Callithrix jacchus: one gene and its partners. The protein of the gene in region 4 purifies or fractionates together with the protein of the main gene of each other region. This does not show direct contact. Links are inferred from orthologs where the notes say so. Each region holds a gene or a part of one and is shown on either strand. Other genes may lie near its edges.

The links.
Region 1: the proteins of LIN7C (region 4) and DLG1 purify together in Homo sapiens (affinity purification with mass spectrometry; 4 studies listed by BioGRID and IntAct, counting the BioPlex papers as one, with this or other methods). This does not show direct contact. The link is inferred for Callithrix jacchus from reciprocal best matches to the Homo sapiens genes LIN7C and DLG1.
Region 2: the proteins of LIN7C (region 4) and ARHGEF26 purify together in Homo sapiens (affinity purification with mass spectrometry; 3 studies listed by BioGRID and IntAct, counting the BioPlex papers as one, with this or other methods). This does not show direct contact. The link is inferred for Callithrix jacchus from reciprocal best matches to the Homo sapiens genes LIN7C and ARHGEF26.
Region 3: the proteins of LIN7C (region 4) and PALS1 purify together in Homo sapiens (affinity purification with mass spectrometry; 3 studies listed by BioGRID and IntAct, counting the BioPlex papers as one, with this or other methods). This does not show direct contact. The link is inferred for Callithrix jacchus from reciprocal best matches to the Homo sapiens genes LIN7C and PALS1.

What each region holds. Positions count from the first base shown.
Region 1 is NC_133516.1:25,083,250-25,086,814, forward strand, and holds part of DLG1 (disks large homolog 1), read left to right. Parts: intron 1-594; coding exon 595-636; intron 637-1,317; coding exon 1,318-1,353; intron 1,354-2,747; coding exon 2,748-2,798; intron 2,799-3,565. UniProt on the Homo sapiens protein: Essential multidomain scaffolding protein required for normal development. Recruits channels, receptors and signaling molecules to discrete plasma membrane domains in polarized cells.
Region 2 is NC_133518.1:31,170,980-31,174,544, forward strand, and holds part of ARHGEF26 (rho guanine nucleotide exchange factor 26), read right to left. Parts: intron 3,555-3,565; coding exon 3,487-3,554; intron 1,875-3,486; coding exon 1,770-1,874; intron 1,013-1,769; coding exon 870-1,012; 3' UTR 1-869. UniProt on the Homo sapiens protein: Activates RhoG GTPase by promoting the exchange of GDP by GTP. Required for the formation of membrane ruffles during macropinocytosis. Required for the formation of cup-like structures during trans-endothelial migration of leukocytes.
Region 3 is NC_133509.1:102,221,016-102,225,349, reverse strand, and holds the start of PALS1 (protein PALS1), read right to left. Parts: upstream 2,856-4,334; 5' UTR 2,718-2,855; exon of another isoform or gene 2,598-2,717; intron 1-2,597. UniProt on the Homo sapiens protein: Plays a role in tight junction biogenesis and in the establishment of cell polarity in epithelial cells.
Region 4 is NC_133511.1:92,876,923-92,881,108, reverse strand, and holds the start of LIN7C (protein lin-7 homolog C), read left to right. Parts: upstream 1-1,385; 5' UTR 1,386-1,400; coding exon 1,401-1,437; intron 1,438-4,186. UniProt on the Homo sapiens protein: Plays a role in establishing and maintaining the asymmetric distribution of channels and receptors at the plasma membrane of polarized cells.

The DNA of each region.
Region 1 (3,565 bases), on a different chromosome or scaffold from region 4:
TGACTCTTTTGAGACATCTGAATTTATGACTTCTAAAATGCTTCATCTGTATGATCTCAGAAAAATTGACTTTCATTTTCAGAAACAGGAGTGGAGCTGGACTATAAATAACATCGTCTATTTATTTTTAATTACAAAGACCTCCCTTCATTAAAATGAGGATCTATTTCCTTAAATATAGTTTGTCCCCTTTGCTAGTTACTGCTGTTTCAAAGACTGAATTAGATAGTGCCAACAATATTTTCCCTTTGAGTTGTATATCTACATTTAGACTAATTCAGGATCATTTTGCCTTTGTTATATTCTACTCGCTATTTATAGTAGAGACTTGTTCATAAACTGTGTTGTACAAAAATAAGGCACTGTCCTTAATTACAGGTGTTTTCCCTTGCTAATACATATTTATTTGAAAAAATTAAACCTTTCAAAGAAAAGAAAAAATGCTTTTAAATTAAAAAATTATTTTGTTATATATGGCTTATACCTCAACATTTTATGTCACCCTCTTTTATTTTGATTATTTGCTTTTATCAGCTTTTTAAACTCATGACACTGTGTTTTCTTTATTTGTCTTCCATTGTCCTGCAATTTCAGAGCATGTAACTTCTAATGCCAGCGATAGTGAAAGTAGTTACCGTAAGTGTCTTAAGTTACTTGTTCTTTTATAATTTCAAGTAGTAAATCCTCAGCAGGGGTGGAGGGATTCTTAGTAATATGTTCTAAAACCCTAAAGTTAATATGATTGATATTAAAATCAGGAAGAGCCAAGTAAAATTTTGTGCTTGAAAAAAATCATAATATGTAGAGGTTAATTTATAAAATTTTAATAAAATACTAAAAATAGTATTATTTGTGTACATAGTACATATATGTGTGTATATATATTTTTTATAAAAAGTAAATACTTATATGGGGGAAAACTTATATTTTGACATTTTGTTGAATTCTGTTTTTAACATGAGTGCTAAAATAATATTTTTCAGTAATGCTAAATTATAATTAGCTTTATTTCTGTTTTCATTATTTTACCAATACTGTTCTGGATCAAGTCATTGTTTATCACCAGCACTTGGTGAACAGAAGAAATAAGGAAGGAAACATTTTCAATGATTGCTCAGAAAATAATGCTAATTTCTCTTTTGATGTTTTATATTACATTCTTGGTTTTATTAAGTGAACTACACAAGCATGTGATGTTTTTAAACAGATTTGGGTGTGGGAGAAGGGGAAAGTATATAATGTTATCATTTGTAGCACCTTAAAAATTAAAATTGCTTTTCTAACTTTTTTTTTTTTTACTGCTGTCTAAAATGAAAGTAATCTTGATTACAGATGAGTACGGCTGCCCAAAAGGTCCATCCTGTTAATATCAGTCCCTAATACTTTTTCATGTTGACAGTATATACTTTTAACCATCACTCATTTGGTTGATTATTTTTCTACATAATAGTTACTTAATTTTTTTTTGGTGTGGAAATGATTTCTTGTATTTCAGCATTTTATTGCTTATAACCAGAATCCACTATAGAGTAGTGGAGTGGCTTTCTAGGCTAAAAAGAGGTAATGAAAGTATATACTGTCTGTCTCACCATTTGCATGAATTATTAAGGAGTGGAATATTCCAATTGCATGTGTTTGCTAGTATGTAAGCCATGTTTTACATCCAATAATTTAAAAAAGTTTATATTGGTTTTATATACTTCGATAATAAAATTAAAAACAAAGAAATACACACTTAAAGCAGAAAAGAATGTTTATGTCAATATATGGATTTAAAAGACTGCAGCTACATACATATAATATAAAACAATTGCAAAATTCATGGTAAAATTAATATAGGATCTTGATAATTAAAGAAAAAGTCTTCAAATACATTATCCAGTATTGATTGTTTTCATTGAACCACTTGGGTTAACACAGTCTTTTCTAATTTTGGGTGTGGGGGCAAGGGGGATATGTATTAGTTAAAAACTGCTAGAGTTTTTAATTTTGTAGTTATTTTCATTGGATTCAGATATAATTTGTAGACTCTTTAATTTAGAATATATCCTAAGCTCTAAATCTTTAATTTGGAAGCTTTAACTTCTTGTATGCTTTTAAGTTCAAAGCAGAATATATTTATCTCCTTTACTATCATGTGGTTTTTTTATTGGAAGGATTTAGTTTTGTCTAAAGCTCTTTTTGATTCACATTAAATTTCTTATTTTTTACAAAGTTTAATTTGTGAATTTTTTCATCAGTGAAATAGTGACAATAGTTTTACCTTTGTGTTTATAATTTTAAATTTTAAGGTAGTTGTAATTTTTTTAAATATACTGTTTTCAGTATTATAGTTGGTGAAAAAAGTAGCATATTTTTAATAGTAACAATTACCTAAGATGTATATATATATATATAGATAGAACTGTTCATTAAAGCATTAATCTTTAACAGAGTTAATAATTCTTAAATTCTAAATAAAGAAGTAGCACGTAGTATCACAAATGAAGATTTTAGATTTGATGATTATTTATTGATTTAAAAGCTCATTTATATTTTGTTTTACATTTAGCAAACTCACTTTTATGACTTTATGATTTGCCACTTTTATTTATTTTTTTTTACTAAATCTTGCCACAAAGTACCTCTTTCCATATCTTTGCCATTTTCTTAGGAAAGTTATAGTAATGTATATGTTGTTTATGAAGAATTAGACTAGCATCAGTTATCTTTATGTATTTTTCATCTGTGCCTTCACTTTCTAATAGGTGGTCAAGAAGAGTACGTCTTATCTTATGAACCAGTGAATCAGCAAGAAGGTTTGTGAAGCCTATTCATATTTTATAATCTTCTAGAATAATATATTTTTAATTTGGGGGAAAAAAGTCTAATACCCCCCAAAAATGTTATATGTAGAAATTTACTACATGTATTTTATGAAACATAGTTTATTCCATAGTATATTAGAATCTAGTCATTTCATATTGACTTTTATATTTGTGTTTTATTTCCTAAGCAATTTTTTTCAAGTGTTCTTGTTAACATCGCTATCTTCCAAATAACCCTTTTTTGAAAATCTTGGGAGCATCTTTGACCCTTCTCTGTTCCTCATGCTCCTCAGCTAATCAGGTTCCAGGCACTATTGTACTTCTTTCTTATTTATGACCTGCTCTTCGTCCCTTCTACCACAATGTTAGTTCTCGGCCTCACTCCCCATCTCCATTCTTCCAGCACGATCTTATGCAACCTAGAGTTTACACTTCTTTAGATCATCTTTCTAAAACACTACTGTGATTATATCACTTCCTACATCTAATTTCTCTTCTGCCCTTCTTTGCTCTGCTTCCTTACAATTTCTACTTCAAAACTGTCTGTAAAACACTATATGTTATTCTGTCATTTGCAATGTAAATAAACATAATCTGCTAAACTACCAAATTTAACTTTGAATTATCAAGTGTATGACTTCTAGCAGGAGACTGAGTAAACTTTAAGATCTTAGTCAAGATTATAAAACAGCAAATTAGGCATCTTTGGTTGACGGAAAAGGAAGATGGAGGAGGAAGAAAAAAATTCTTTGTAACAG
Region 2 (3,565 bases), on a different chromosome or scaffold from region 4:
AGCTACTTGGGAGGCTGAGGCAGGAGAATCACTTGATCCCAGTGAACCGAGATCACACCACCACACTCCAGCCTGGGTGACATGGGGCAGGGGCATCGGGAGTAGGACCCCTGTCCTAAATTCATGGTTTTCTCACATGTGAAACCATCTAAATTCTATGTTGTTAAAGGTAGTTTAGGTTAATTAGTCTATACTTATCTAAAACCAATGTGGGGTGAGATGGATTTTTTTTTTTAAATCCTTAAAGTAAGGCTCTCTACTTTCCTTCTAATGAGGAAAAAGGTGACAAAAATTCAAGTGTCAATGTCCCTTTCCTGGGAATAGGTTTAGAAAAACATAACAGCTCGCCTTCTGAACTCTACCAGTTCCTTCTGAAGTCAACAAAACATTAGAATCAGATTTTTAAAAAAAGAGAGACAGGGAAATATTTACAAAACTGGACATTCCTGACAGATATAAAATCTTGCTAATGCTGGGAAAACCATACAAGGGTGTTTAAAGACAAACAGTAACCTTAGTAAAGCATGATAGAGAAAACCAGGATATGATATGTGTTTTTTAATGCCAGAACATGGTGAAATTAGGAGGAGCAGAGATGACTGATCCCTGAAGTGGACTGCTCAGCTATTCTGCTCAGCCTCTAAGAAGGTCTTCAAAGATGTGGTTAGGTAAAAACTGAGCTGTGCAAACTAACTGTATCCACTGTTCTTCTCACAAGAGAGCAGAACAACCTGGCAAGCTTAAAGGCAAGTGTTTTCATTCTTTTAATTAAATAGGCTGTGATAAAATTAACAATAAAACTAGCCCAAAACCAACCAGCCCACTATGTGTCGTGCAAATCTTGCAGTAACGAAAGACCATCTGAGAGACTACACGTTGGTCTCCAGTCCTAGCAAGCGTCCCATTCTCTCTACATTCTTGTCAATTATAGCTTGACATGTTATCTCCTTGGCACATTCCATAGGAAACCAGCCTCTTTCTCCATCTCGCAGTCGTTCCCCCTCATACCAGCCTGTGAAAAAGAACAGAGTCCACATCAAACAAGTATTTGTGGTGTGCCAGGCTTCAAGAAGAATATGAAAAAGCTGAGACACAGTATCGCTCTCCAGGCTAGGTGCCATGGATGATGAAAGGTAAGGAGAATGAAACAGGGAAAGGTTTCAAGGGGGAATGAATGACATTCCAGGGAAAGAGCCTGAACAGAGGCTCTGAAGTGAAAAGGCTGAGTATCTGAACCTGGGCTGAGCTGGCAAAGGAGATGCTTTGGGTAAGGATAGCAGGAAAAATGATTTTTTTGAAAGGATGAATCTTTGGAGATGAGAACTAGGTCACTGTGGGACTGGGGAACAAAGAAAACTTCATGGTTTCCTTTTGAATAACAAATCAGATGACTGCATCTATATTCAAAGCCAAATTAGATGAATCATAAAGTGTAGATAGATGAGAGGCAGGTGAACATGAGAAAGCTGGAGGGAAAGCCCAAAAAGAGAAGAGGCAAATGTTTCAAAGTCCCCAAAACACCTCTCCAAGTCATCTTTAGGTCTTTGGTAAACCACTGATTTGGGGAATAAAGTCTTGGGGAAGAGGAAAGGAGTAAGAACAGAGAAGCAACAAAATTAGCCTTAGTGATAAGAATGCAGTACATGTATGTAATCTCATTCACGTATCAAGATTTGGAATACAGGCAATGATGACAAAATGAGACTCCTCTGGTCTGTAGAACTCTGAATCCTGGACCACCAGTGTCCCATAAGAACGCTCCCACTCACCATCGCTGACACGTTGATAGATGAGGACAACGTCTGCCACCTGCAGGGAGAGTTCATCTGGCTGCTTGGAAGTAAATGACCTAACGATTTCCACCTGGGTCAGTGCTGCGGCAAAGAGGACATACTAAGTTTCCAGTAGCAGAGAAAAAAACACGTGCAATCCAACAGTGTACATTTACTCGTTTTTCTCTGTAACTCAGGGCCAGCACTGAGGGAAACAAGTTGGGCTTCTAACAATAAGCAGAACATCTTTTCTAGCAATTCCTTTACTTGGCTATATGCTTTAGAATTTTAGAACCTCAGATTAGAGGCCTTTTATGATGCAAGAATCCCCTCAATAACAGGTTGATCAGGAGTCATTAGTCATGTCACACAATGGAGCAGAAAACAGCCATTTTTGCCTTAAGAAAACTGAGGCATGAGAGAGGTGCTGATGTGCTGAGTCCATGCAAAATATACAATAGACATAGTTCTCCTGGATCTCATCAGAGTGTTTTCCCATCCCAGCAGCAGCACAGGAAAGCTTCCAAAAAAGTTTAGAAATAAAAGGAGTTCTGGCTGTGCACGGTGGCTCACGCCTGTAATCCTAGCACTTTGGGAGGCTGAGGCGAGCAGATCACGAGGTCAAGGGATTGGGACCATCCTGGCCAACATGGTGAAACCCTGTCTCTACTAAAAACAAAATACGGGATTTCCAACTTTCTGGAATCCCCTCCCATACAGTGGGAGCTCAAAAAAATAAAACAAAATACAAAAATTAGCTGGGTGTGTTGGTACACACCTGTATTCCCAGCTACTCAGGAGGCTAAGGCAAGAGAATCACTTGAACCTGGGATGTGGACGTTGCACTGGGCTGAGATTGCACCACTGTACTCCAGCCTGGAGACAGAGTGAGACTCCATCTCAAAAAACCACCAAAAAAAAAAAATGGAGTTCCAACCAAAAGCTTAAAAGACATATTAGACCTCCTCAGAAATGCTGACATGTGACTTCTTACTTAATTTGCTTTTAATATAAAGCTTGATTTTAGGAAACTTTCGGACCATTCTGGCTTTTAATCTAAGCTTAAAGCTGTAATTTTTGAGGATTCCGAGAGAATGTTTTGTCCTAATTCTTTGGATTTAACCTTCCAATTGTAATAACCTAAGGAATCCCAGCATCAATGTTAGGAAGCTAATAAGCACACACCACCACCCTTTACTGCACCAGTTTTTAATTCTCTAGAATAATGAAACACACTTTCTTAGAAGGTCAAAAATGATTGTTAATTTTCTTTAAGATTAAAAATACTTTTCAGATTCTCAGTATGGAGAAGGCTTAAACATTATTAACTAAATTGCTCACTGATAACAGCTAAAAATGTAAAAGCTCTATAGTTCATATAGGGCTTTTAAAATAGATTATTTAACTTATCTTCACAACAACCCCATGTTGTGTATAATGGTGTAACTGACTTGCAGATGGTTAAATAGCTCTGTAATGCTAAGCAACGATTTGCCATGTTTCCACAACAAAGAAGTGCACCTTGGATTTCAATTCAGACCCCTTGACTTCCACAGCAAGTATCATACCCTTCTGGTGTAAAGCAGAAGGAAGGAAACCTTGGAGGAAACTTAGGCAAGGACTGTGGTGGTGTAAATGCATTAGTAACCCGGCGTCCAGCAGGGGGCAGAGCCCATCCATGTTCCCAAGTGGGCTTCCCCTTGAGAGCACTTACAGGTTCGGTCTGCTGGCGGCTTTCCGCTGCTGTGTCCCAGGGCAGTTATCCAGCGGGCTCGCTCACTCCTAAAACAGAA
Region 3 (4,334 bases), on a different chromosome or scaffold from region 4:
TGAAAAATGAAGAGGTTAGACTATATAACCACTAAGATTACTTCCAACTCAACGATCCTATGATTCAGTAAGAATATGATAAAAAATTATATTCTAGCAATGGCTTGTGCCTGTAATCCCAGAACTTTGGGAGGTCAAGGTAGGTGGATCACCTGAGGTCAGGAGTTCGAGGCTAGCCTGGCCAACATGGCCAAACCCTGTCTCCAATAAAAATATGAAAATTAGCAGGGTGTGGTGAACAGCTACTCAGGAGGCTGAGGTAGAAGAATCGCTTTAACCCAGGAAGTGAAGACTGCAGTGAGCCCAGATCACACCACTTCACTCCAGCCTGGCCGACAGAGCAAGACTCTGTCTCACAAAAAGAAAAGAAAATTATATTCTAAAGCACATATGTCAAGATACTATCTTTTCTAGACACCCTGAAATCAGAAAATATCAGAGAAACAGGGAATCTCAGTATTACATAAAATTAATCAAATTTCTTGGAATGTCTGATAAAATTTTATTTAAATTTTTTCATGACATAGCCCTCAGGAGATCCTGAGAACATGTGCCCCTGAATTGAGATTTTTAATCAAGATTATAATTCTAGATCATGTAAAAACTAAACCCACTGTACTGACTTGGGTCACCCTGAGGTAGAACTTACATATTGTCTGCTTTAACATTCTAAAACAAATTAATGTTAATCCACCTTTACTTGTCAAGTTCAAGTCTGTCTAGCCAAAAATCATTCAGATACCTGCTAAAGTTTACTCGTTTTTTTTTTTTTTTGAGACGGGAGTTTCGCTCTTGTTACCCAGGCTGGAGTGCAAGAGCGCGATCTCGGCTTACCGCAACCTCCACCTCCTGGGTTCAGGCAATTCTCCTGCCTCAGCCTCCCGAGTAGCTGGGACTACAGGCACACGCCACCATGCCCAGCTAATTTTTTGTATCTTTAGTAGACACGGGGTTTCACCATTTTGACCAGGATGGTCTCGATCTCATGATCCACCTGCCTTGGCCTCCCAAAGTGCTGGGATTACAGGCTTGAGCCACCGTGCCCTGCCGATTTTTTTTTTTTTTTGAGACAGTCTCTCTCTGTTGCACAGACTGGAGTGCAGTGGGGTGATCTCAGCTCACTGCAACCTCCATCTCCTGGGTTCAAGCAATTCTCCTGCCTCAGCCACTCGAGTAGCTGAAATTACAGGCCTATACCACCACACCCGGCTAATTTTTTGTATTTTTAGTAGAGATGGGGTTTTGCCCTGTTGACCAGGCTGGTCTCGAACACTGGACCTCAAATAATTCACCCGCATCGGCCTCCCAAAGGGCTGGGATTATAGGCGTCAGACACCGCACCCGGCCAAATTTACTAGATTTTTAAAGATAAAATAATGAATTGCTTTTCCTATTTTTGCCTGTTTCATCTATAAATCTCTTACATTATAATTTAATAGCTCATCCTGCTGCAAATAGAAAGCCTACAAAACCTATCCACAATACACTATGTCCACGGGGACCTAGTAAAAAAAAAATTGGTAGTTCATAATTCAAGAAAGCTTATTTAGTAACTTTCATGACCACCAATACTTCAAAGACACCAATAACCAACACGTCATTTGTTCCTATTGCAGAATTTAACAGGTAATTAACCTCCTGTATAATCCAAAAGCATAATTAGTAAACCATCATTAAAACATATTTTTAAAATCAGAAATATTAACACCTTTCACTGTGTCAGTCAAATCAAAATTTCAAAATTTTTGTTCAACTGACTTTCCAAATCTAAATTCTTACTATTGTAAACGAGTATGGAGACAAAACACACACTACATACCACATCTAAAAACTTCCTAGCCATCAGATTTTAATTTTAGCATAAACTGTCAAGAAAAACCTTTCGACCGAAACCTACATTCCAAACACATTACTGTATATCAATCAAGTAAACAGGTGAGTTATTATCTTTAGAAAGTTATATTATTTACTACAAAGATCGTTTAATCCAACCTTCAATAAACGTAGATTACAATTTACAGGCTTCAAAGTTCAATGTGCAAACTTATATTATCAGAAACCATTAACAAAATTAGGCTTTTATTTAAAAGTGGTCACAAGGAAGCAGGAACTGTTTGCGTGTTTAAGAACGCAATGAGTAGCAGAATACCAGCAGCTGAGTCAGGCAGAGGGACGCTGACTACTTTCCGACTTCCAAAGGAAAGCGTTCCCTAGGCGATCTCCCCCACCCGGCCGGGAGAATCCAGCTCGTCGCGACCTCCGGGCGGGGGCGCAGGGGGAAGACCACTGCCCGCGGCGCCCCACGCACCTCCGGCCGGGCAGGCTGTGGCCCGCGCCAAGGTGCATGACCGGCCAAGGAGAAGGAGCGGGCACCGCGCCGGCAGCGTTACTCCGAGGGACAAAGGGTGGGTTCACACCCTCCACGGCCACGGCTCCCGCGCCTGAGGAAGACCGCCTGGCGGCCGGGGGTCCCCAGCCCGCCGGAGTTTGCACGGCGTGTGGGGGAGGGGGAGTCCGACCGCCCCTCCCCCGCCGCGCTGCCGGAGACCTGTTGATTAAGATCTCCACAGCCCAGCCGCCACCAATCCGCCTCTTACCTCCGCGCCCCGGCTCCGCTAGCCTCCCGCCCCGGCCGCTCCGAAGCACTGCCGAAGCGACAGCCCTCCGGCGGCCCTTAAAATACCGGATAAAGAATCCAGAAACTCCGGACTCCTCACCTCAGAATCCTTAGACCCCGCCCCACAGCCAGCCTCCGCCGTCGCCGCCGCCGCCGCCGCCGCAGCCGCCAGCAACTCCACCTCTAGACCGCGCGAGACCGGCCCCTGCGGCCGCCGCGAGACCGCGCACGCGCCCCCGGGACTCTGGCTCAGCGGGCACACGGGTCCCAGTCCCACCCCTCCCATGAGAGGCTGTAGCGGCTCGCCCAATCCCTAGCCGGTGCGGAGAGAGCGCCCGTTCATTGGTCGTCTCCTCAGTTCCCGCCGGGTGCGCGCACTGGCGCGCCTCCAAGTCTAAAACGCGAACAGCTGGGGGCTGACTGGCCCTGAGGAGCCCCTCCGGGGTTTAGCGGGCGGGTTCTGTGGTGTAGACGCTAAGGCTTCCCTGGGGCTTTACAGCCCTTGGCTCTTCTGTTTCTGGATGACGGTTTCTGACGAAAATATGATTCTTGAAGGTATTCCTCGTGTTCTGTCAAGTTAGTCACACAATCTAACATTTGTTTAAAAAAAAAAAATGACGTAAACACCTGGATGTGTGCACTGTCCCGCAGAAGACTCCAGAAAGCCAGCAGCTGCGCTGACTTCTGAAAACCAGAAAGCAAGGATGGCAAGGGCTAGAGCTATTTCCCAGAGGTCTCCTGAAGGGACAGAGAGTTACGCAGGCCAGCCCATGCCCCAGGCACGGCTGGCGCCCTCGGGACCTGGATGTGCCACCCTTGAAATGGGCAGGACTCAGGCGGGTTCGGGAGGAAGTCAGAACAGATTGGAGTACGTTCTAAGGAGAAATGCCAGCAAATGTGTCTTGACACTTCCAGTAAAGCCATCGGTTGGTCTCTGCCTTGACAGTACCTTCCGAGGAACCCCATCCCACCTTCGAACACGTGCAGGGTTTGTTAATCGACCTCTCCTTCTATGAGGCCAAAATCTGCCTATGACTCCAGCCCAGGGCCACAATTTCCCCCAGGGGCACAGTCCTCCCTCAAAGCCTGCGGATATGCTATTTCTCACGATTTTCTTCATTTTGCCCCACCGTATTTTTCCATTTTGCAATCTCCCCAGATCCTGACTTTCAAGTTCTTTCACATTCTTCCCCATTACGCTCTTCTGGACAGCCTATGGGTTGTTAGTGTACCTCCTTAGGGACACAGTGATGCCCTGAACGAAGCAAACCATTGCTCCTGGTGGTGAAGATCTTCGGGATGCCTACCCTTCCCAGATTTGTTATCTTTCTCAAATCTGATCAGCATTCTGTCCAAGTGTTTAGTAACACAGAGCCGAGGACAGAGCTCTGCTACATGCCTCTAAAGACTTTAATACTCCTGCCTTCAAAAATTTCTCCGAAGGCTTTGAGTACAGATGGACAGCACAACCAAAATGTCTTCTTGGCCCGTATTCCTCCACAAAGATGCAGTGAGAACTGGTGAAATGCCCAACTGAAATCCGGATAAAGTCTGTCTCCAGGATTCCTAGAAACCATTAGCCATACCCCAAAAGAAAAAATGGTTAGTGTGTGTGACTTACTTTGTTTTCTAAGTTATTTTGTTTGTTCGTTTGTTTTTGTTTGAGACGGAGTTTTACTCTTGTCACCCAGGCTGGAATGCATTAGCAGGACCTCAG
Region 4 (4,186 bases):
AGGCCTAAGCAGGAGGACTGCTTGAGCTCAGGAGTTCAAGACCAGCCTGGGCAACACATCAAGACCCCCATCTCTACTAAAAATTTTAAAATTAGCCAGGCATGGTGGTGCTTGCCTGTAGTCCCCACTAGGGGCAAGGCTGAGATAGGAGGCTGTCTTGAGCCCAAGTTTAGTGAGCAATGATCGCAACACTGCACTCCAGTCTGGGCAACGGAGAGAAACAATGTCTCTAAAACAAACATAAAGACTTAGAACGAGGAACAAACATGACTGAAAATATACCACCTGGACTGAAGTGGTGGTTGCACCTAGAGGTAATGAGAAAGGTTAGTTGGATGAGTTAGGGTCAGAGTATGCAAGGCTTTAGAAATAGGTAACAGGAGAGAAACTATTGAAAGTTTCTGAACGAACTTGTGATGATGAAATCAGAATTCCAGGGGAGAAAAAGGAGCATAGTAGTGGCATTCATGATGGATTTGGAAAAGAAAAATACTAAAGGTGAATGGAAAGGGTGGACCAGGGGCAACTAGTTATTAAAACAGTCCTATCATGAAGTGTTGAAATGTTGGATGTAAACACATCTACCACAGTATCAGCACAGACTAAGGGCTTGGGTAAATGTTAGTCAAATGCAAATACAAAAACTTTTCTTGGTTCATGAAATTTTCAGAATTGGCTCAAAGAATCTGTAATGCACTGAGAATTTACTATTTGCTTCAAAATATTTCATTTACTTAAGATTTTATAAGAATCACCTGCTTATAAAATTGTTACTTTGTGGTACACCCAAAGCACCTTGTTTTCTCCCTCACCCAGATATGTTTCATGCTCTTTGTACTTTTCACCCTTAAACAGATTTGGAGGGAAGATTCAAGAGGTGGGTTTTTAAATTTAAAGCAACGCTGTCACAAATTGAGAACTGACAACATGTCATTACACACTTAATTGCCACCGAATCTCAGAGTTTAAAAATTGAAAGCACCTAAGTGATAGGACCTCTCGTTGTACAGATGCGAAAACTGAGGCCGAGAGAGGGTAAATGAACAGTCCCGGGTCAAAGAGCTAATGATCAAGGTGGGACTAGAATCGACTACTTGACTCCTCTGCGTGGAGCCAAGGATCCGAAGCGGTTAGGATAAGGGAAACCCAAGGGAGAGAACAGAGTCAGGAAAGCAGCTCTTTCCAACCCTAGGAGGCCGCGGAAGGTGCAGAGCCAAGCCAAACTCAAAAGCCGCCAAGTCCAAGTACCCTTACCCTGATGGCGGCTACGAAACCACCGGCCAACCTCCCGATCTCGCGATACTGACAGGCGCTCACTTCTCCGGCTTCCGGCGGGCCCCGCCTCTCCACCGCAGCCTTTCTGTCGTCATTTCCTGTGGGTCTGTAGGCTAAGGGAGAAGATGGCGGCGCTAGGGGAACCCGTGCGGCTGGAGAGGGGTGAGTGCAGCCGAAGCTCGGCGGAGGTGGGCGGAAGGGTTGAAGGAGTCCTAGGTCGCTGGAGGGGTGGAGGGGTGACCCAGGCTTTGAGATCCGGAGCCAGGCTGTCCCTTGCGCTGGCGCTAGAGGCCGCCGATGTCTCTGTGCCTGGCTGTAGGAAGGACGCTTACGGTCTTTCAGCTGATACTCAAAGCCCTCTTCTGTTAACACGGGCTGTCCCGGGGCACAGCACAACTAAATATAACCTGCTAGCTTCGCAGACACACGCCGCACACGCGCTCCCTTGGTGGGTACAGCATAAGCAGCATTCGGAGACCCGTTTACCCGAAAAGCAAACGTCACACACCCAGTTCGTACAGACTACGTTCATTGCCTGTACAACACGAAGACGGACACACGGTCCAATTCAACAGAACCTCCCTTCCCCCTTGTTTACACGCAAACTTCTTCATTACTTTTCCCACAACCCCACTTGTATTTGGGTTGGGGTATTTGCTAGCTTTTGTGCCCCTCCCAGAAATGGAGAGGTTGCTTTAAAAACAATCCTACTGACTTGGTCTTGGGAAAAAGGTTACATAAGTAAGCAGAATAGTGGTAGATGCTAAAACACTTGCAGGTGTAAGGTTTTCAATTTCTTACAAACCCACAGTTGCAAAACTGGTTGGTTGATTCTTCCCTAGAGCAGACTGTCAAGGAAAATAAAACCTCCTCTGCTGAGTAATTAGAGATAGAGAAGACTGAAAATAGCTGGCTATGCGCCTACCAGATTTCCAGCATTCCAGCGTTTCCAGTCCTGTTACGGATTTCCAGCCTTCCACTCTGTCCCTAAATCCTTTATTTCAAACAATTTTAAGCATGCTTTTCATACACCATCATTAGAAGTCATTGATAGGAGTTAAGAAGCATGAGTAAATATTTTGAGTTCTGGTGGTAAAAAAAAGAAAGTGTAGAATAGAGACTAAAATTATATTGCACATATTAACATTTGCAGTTACAGTCTGAGTATTACTATTGTTCCCTAAGAAAACACATTTTTAGAATTACTGTACTTAGAAAAACCTCTTTCCTAATGCCTCCCCACAAACAAAGGTGCACTTAGTATCGCTGATTTGTTCTTTATAGTGTTCACCATTTGGAAGCCTCCTAGTAAATGAGATTCTTTCCCTTAAGCCTATTAAAACGTCATTTTAGACAGGACTAGCTACTCTGGGAACACTTGCCGAGTTAGGCCTAAGACTGACATCTTTCTCTTGAGCACAATGGCATTGTGTTTCCTAGATGGGAGCAAATCTGTTTGGTGTTAACAGAAGTAGGAGTTTTTCTTTGAAAAGCTAGTTGTAAGATTCTAACATATTGGTGGTCTTACTCCCAGAGGCAGAGTGTCGCCCTGTCGAAGAGACTGGAATGCAGTGGCGCAATCTCACTCGCTACTGCCTTCACCTCCCGGGTTCAAGCAATTCGGCCTCAGCCTCCCGAGTAGCTGGGACTACAGGCACACTCTGCCACGCTTGGCTATTTTTTGTATTTTAGTAGAGACGGGGTTTCACCATGTTGCCCAGGCTGGTCTCGAACTCCTGAGCTCAGGCTATCCACCTGCCTTGGCCTCCCAAAGTGCTAGGACTACAGGCATGAGCCACCGCACCCAGCCGGTTTTCTGTGTTGTTAAATGCAGCACAAAATGTGTAACTCCTGTGGCAATTAGTTTTGATAGTCATGGCTTTGCTTTGTGCTGTTACAGGCTTGTTTTCCTTTTCCATTCTTCAGTAAAGTCTCAGCCCCTTAGAGGGATGAATAACAGTCAACCCTCCATATCCATGGGTTCCACGTACATGAATTCAACCAACTACAGTTTGAAAATACTTAGAGAAAAAAATCCTGTCTATAGAATGTGTACATTTTTATCTTGTCCTTATTACCTAAACAATGTGGTAATATGGTATGGCCTGGAGCGGTGGCTCACACCTATAATCCCAGCTCTTTGGGAGGCTGAGGTAGGTGGATCATGAGGTCAATGGATCACGAGGTCAGGTGTTCAAGACCAGCCTGGTCAAGATGGTGAAACCCCTTATCAACTAAAAATACAAAAACTAGCCAGGTATGGTAGCAGTCACCTGTAGTCTCAGCTTCTTGGGAGGCTGAGGTTGCAGTAAGTAAATATCTTGCCACTGCACTCCAGCCTGGGCAACAAAGCAAGACTCCATCTCAAAATGACAACAACGACAAAAATAATGTGATATAACTATTAACATAGCATCAGATATTGTAAGTAATCTAGAGATGATTTAAAGTATGGAGCAGGAATATGCATAGGTTATATGCAAATACTACATTTTATATCAGAGACTTGAGCATCTGCAGACTTTGATATCTGTGATATCCGAAGAAGGTCCTAACAAACCCTCCACGGTTATCGAGACAGCTGTACTAGTAGTTGCCATTTAGCAGGGGAAAAAGATTACATCAGCTCTGATTCTTTCTTAGAATTCTAACAGACTCTATTAGCAAACACTCCCAACAGTTCTACAGTAGAAAATCCTATAGTACAGTTACAGTTCAGTACCTGATCACATATGATGATTTAGAATCCCTTCTAAATCATCAAAATATTATTTTAATGAAACACAAATTTGAGCACGTATTAGGTACAGTTTAGATTTAGTCAAAAGCATTTTACGTTTTTCCGTTTTTTTGTTAATTGGAAATTTTTATATGGCTTAACATATTATAACTTTATAAATAAAAATGATTG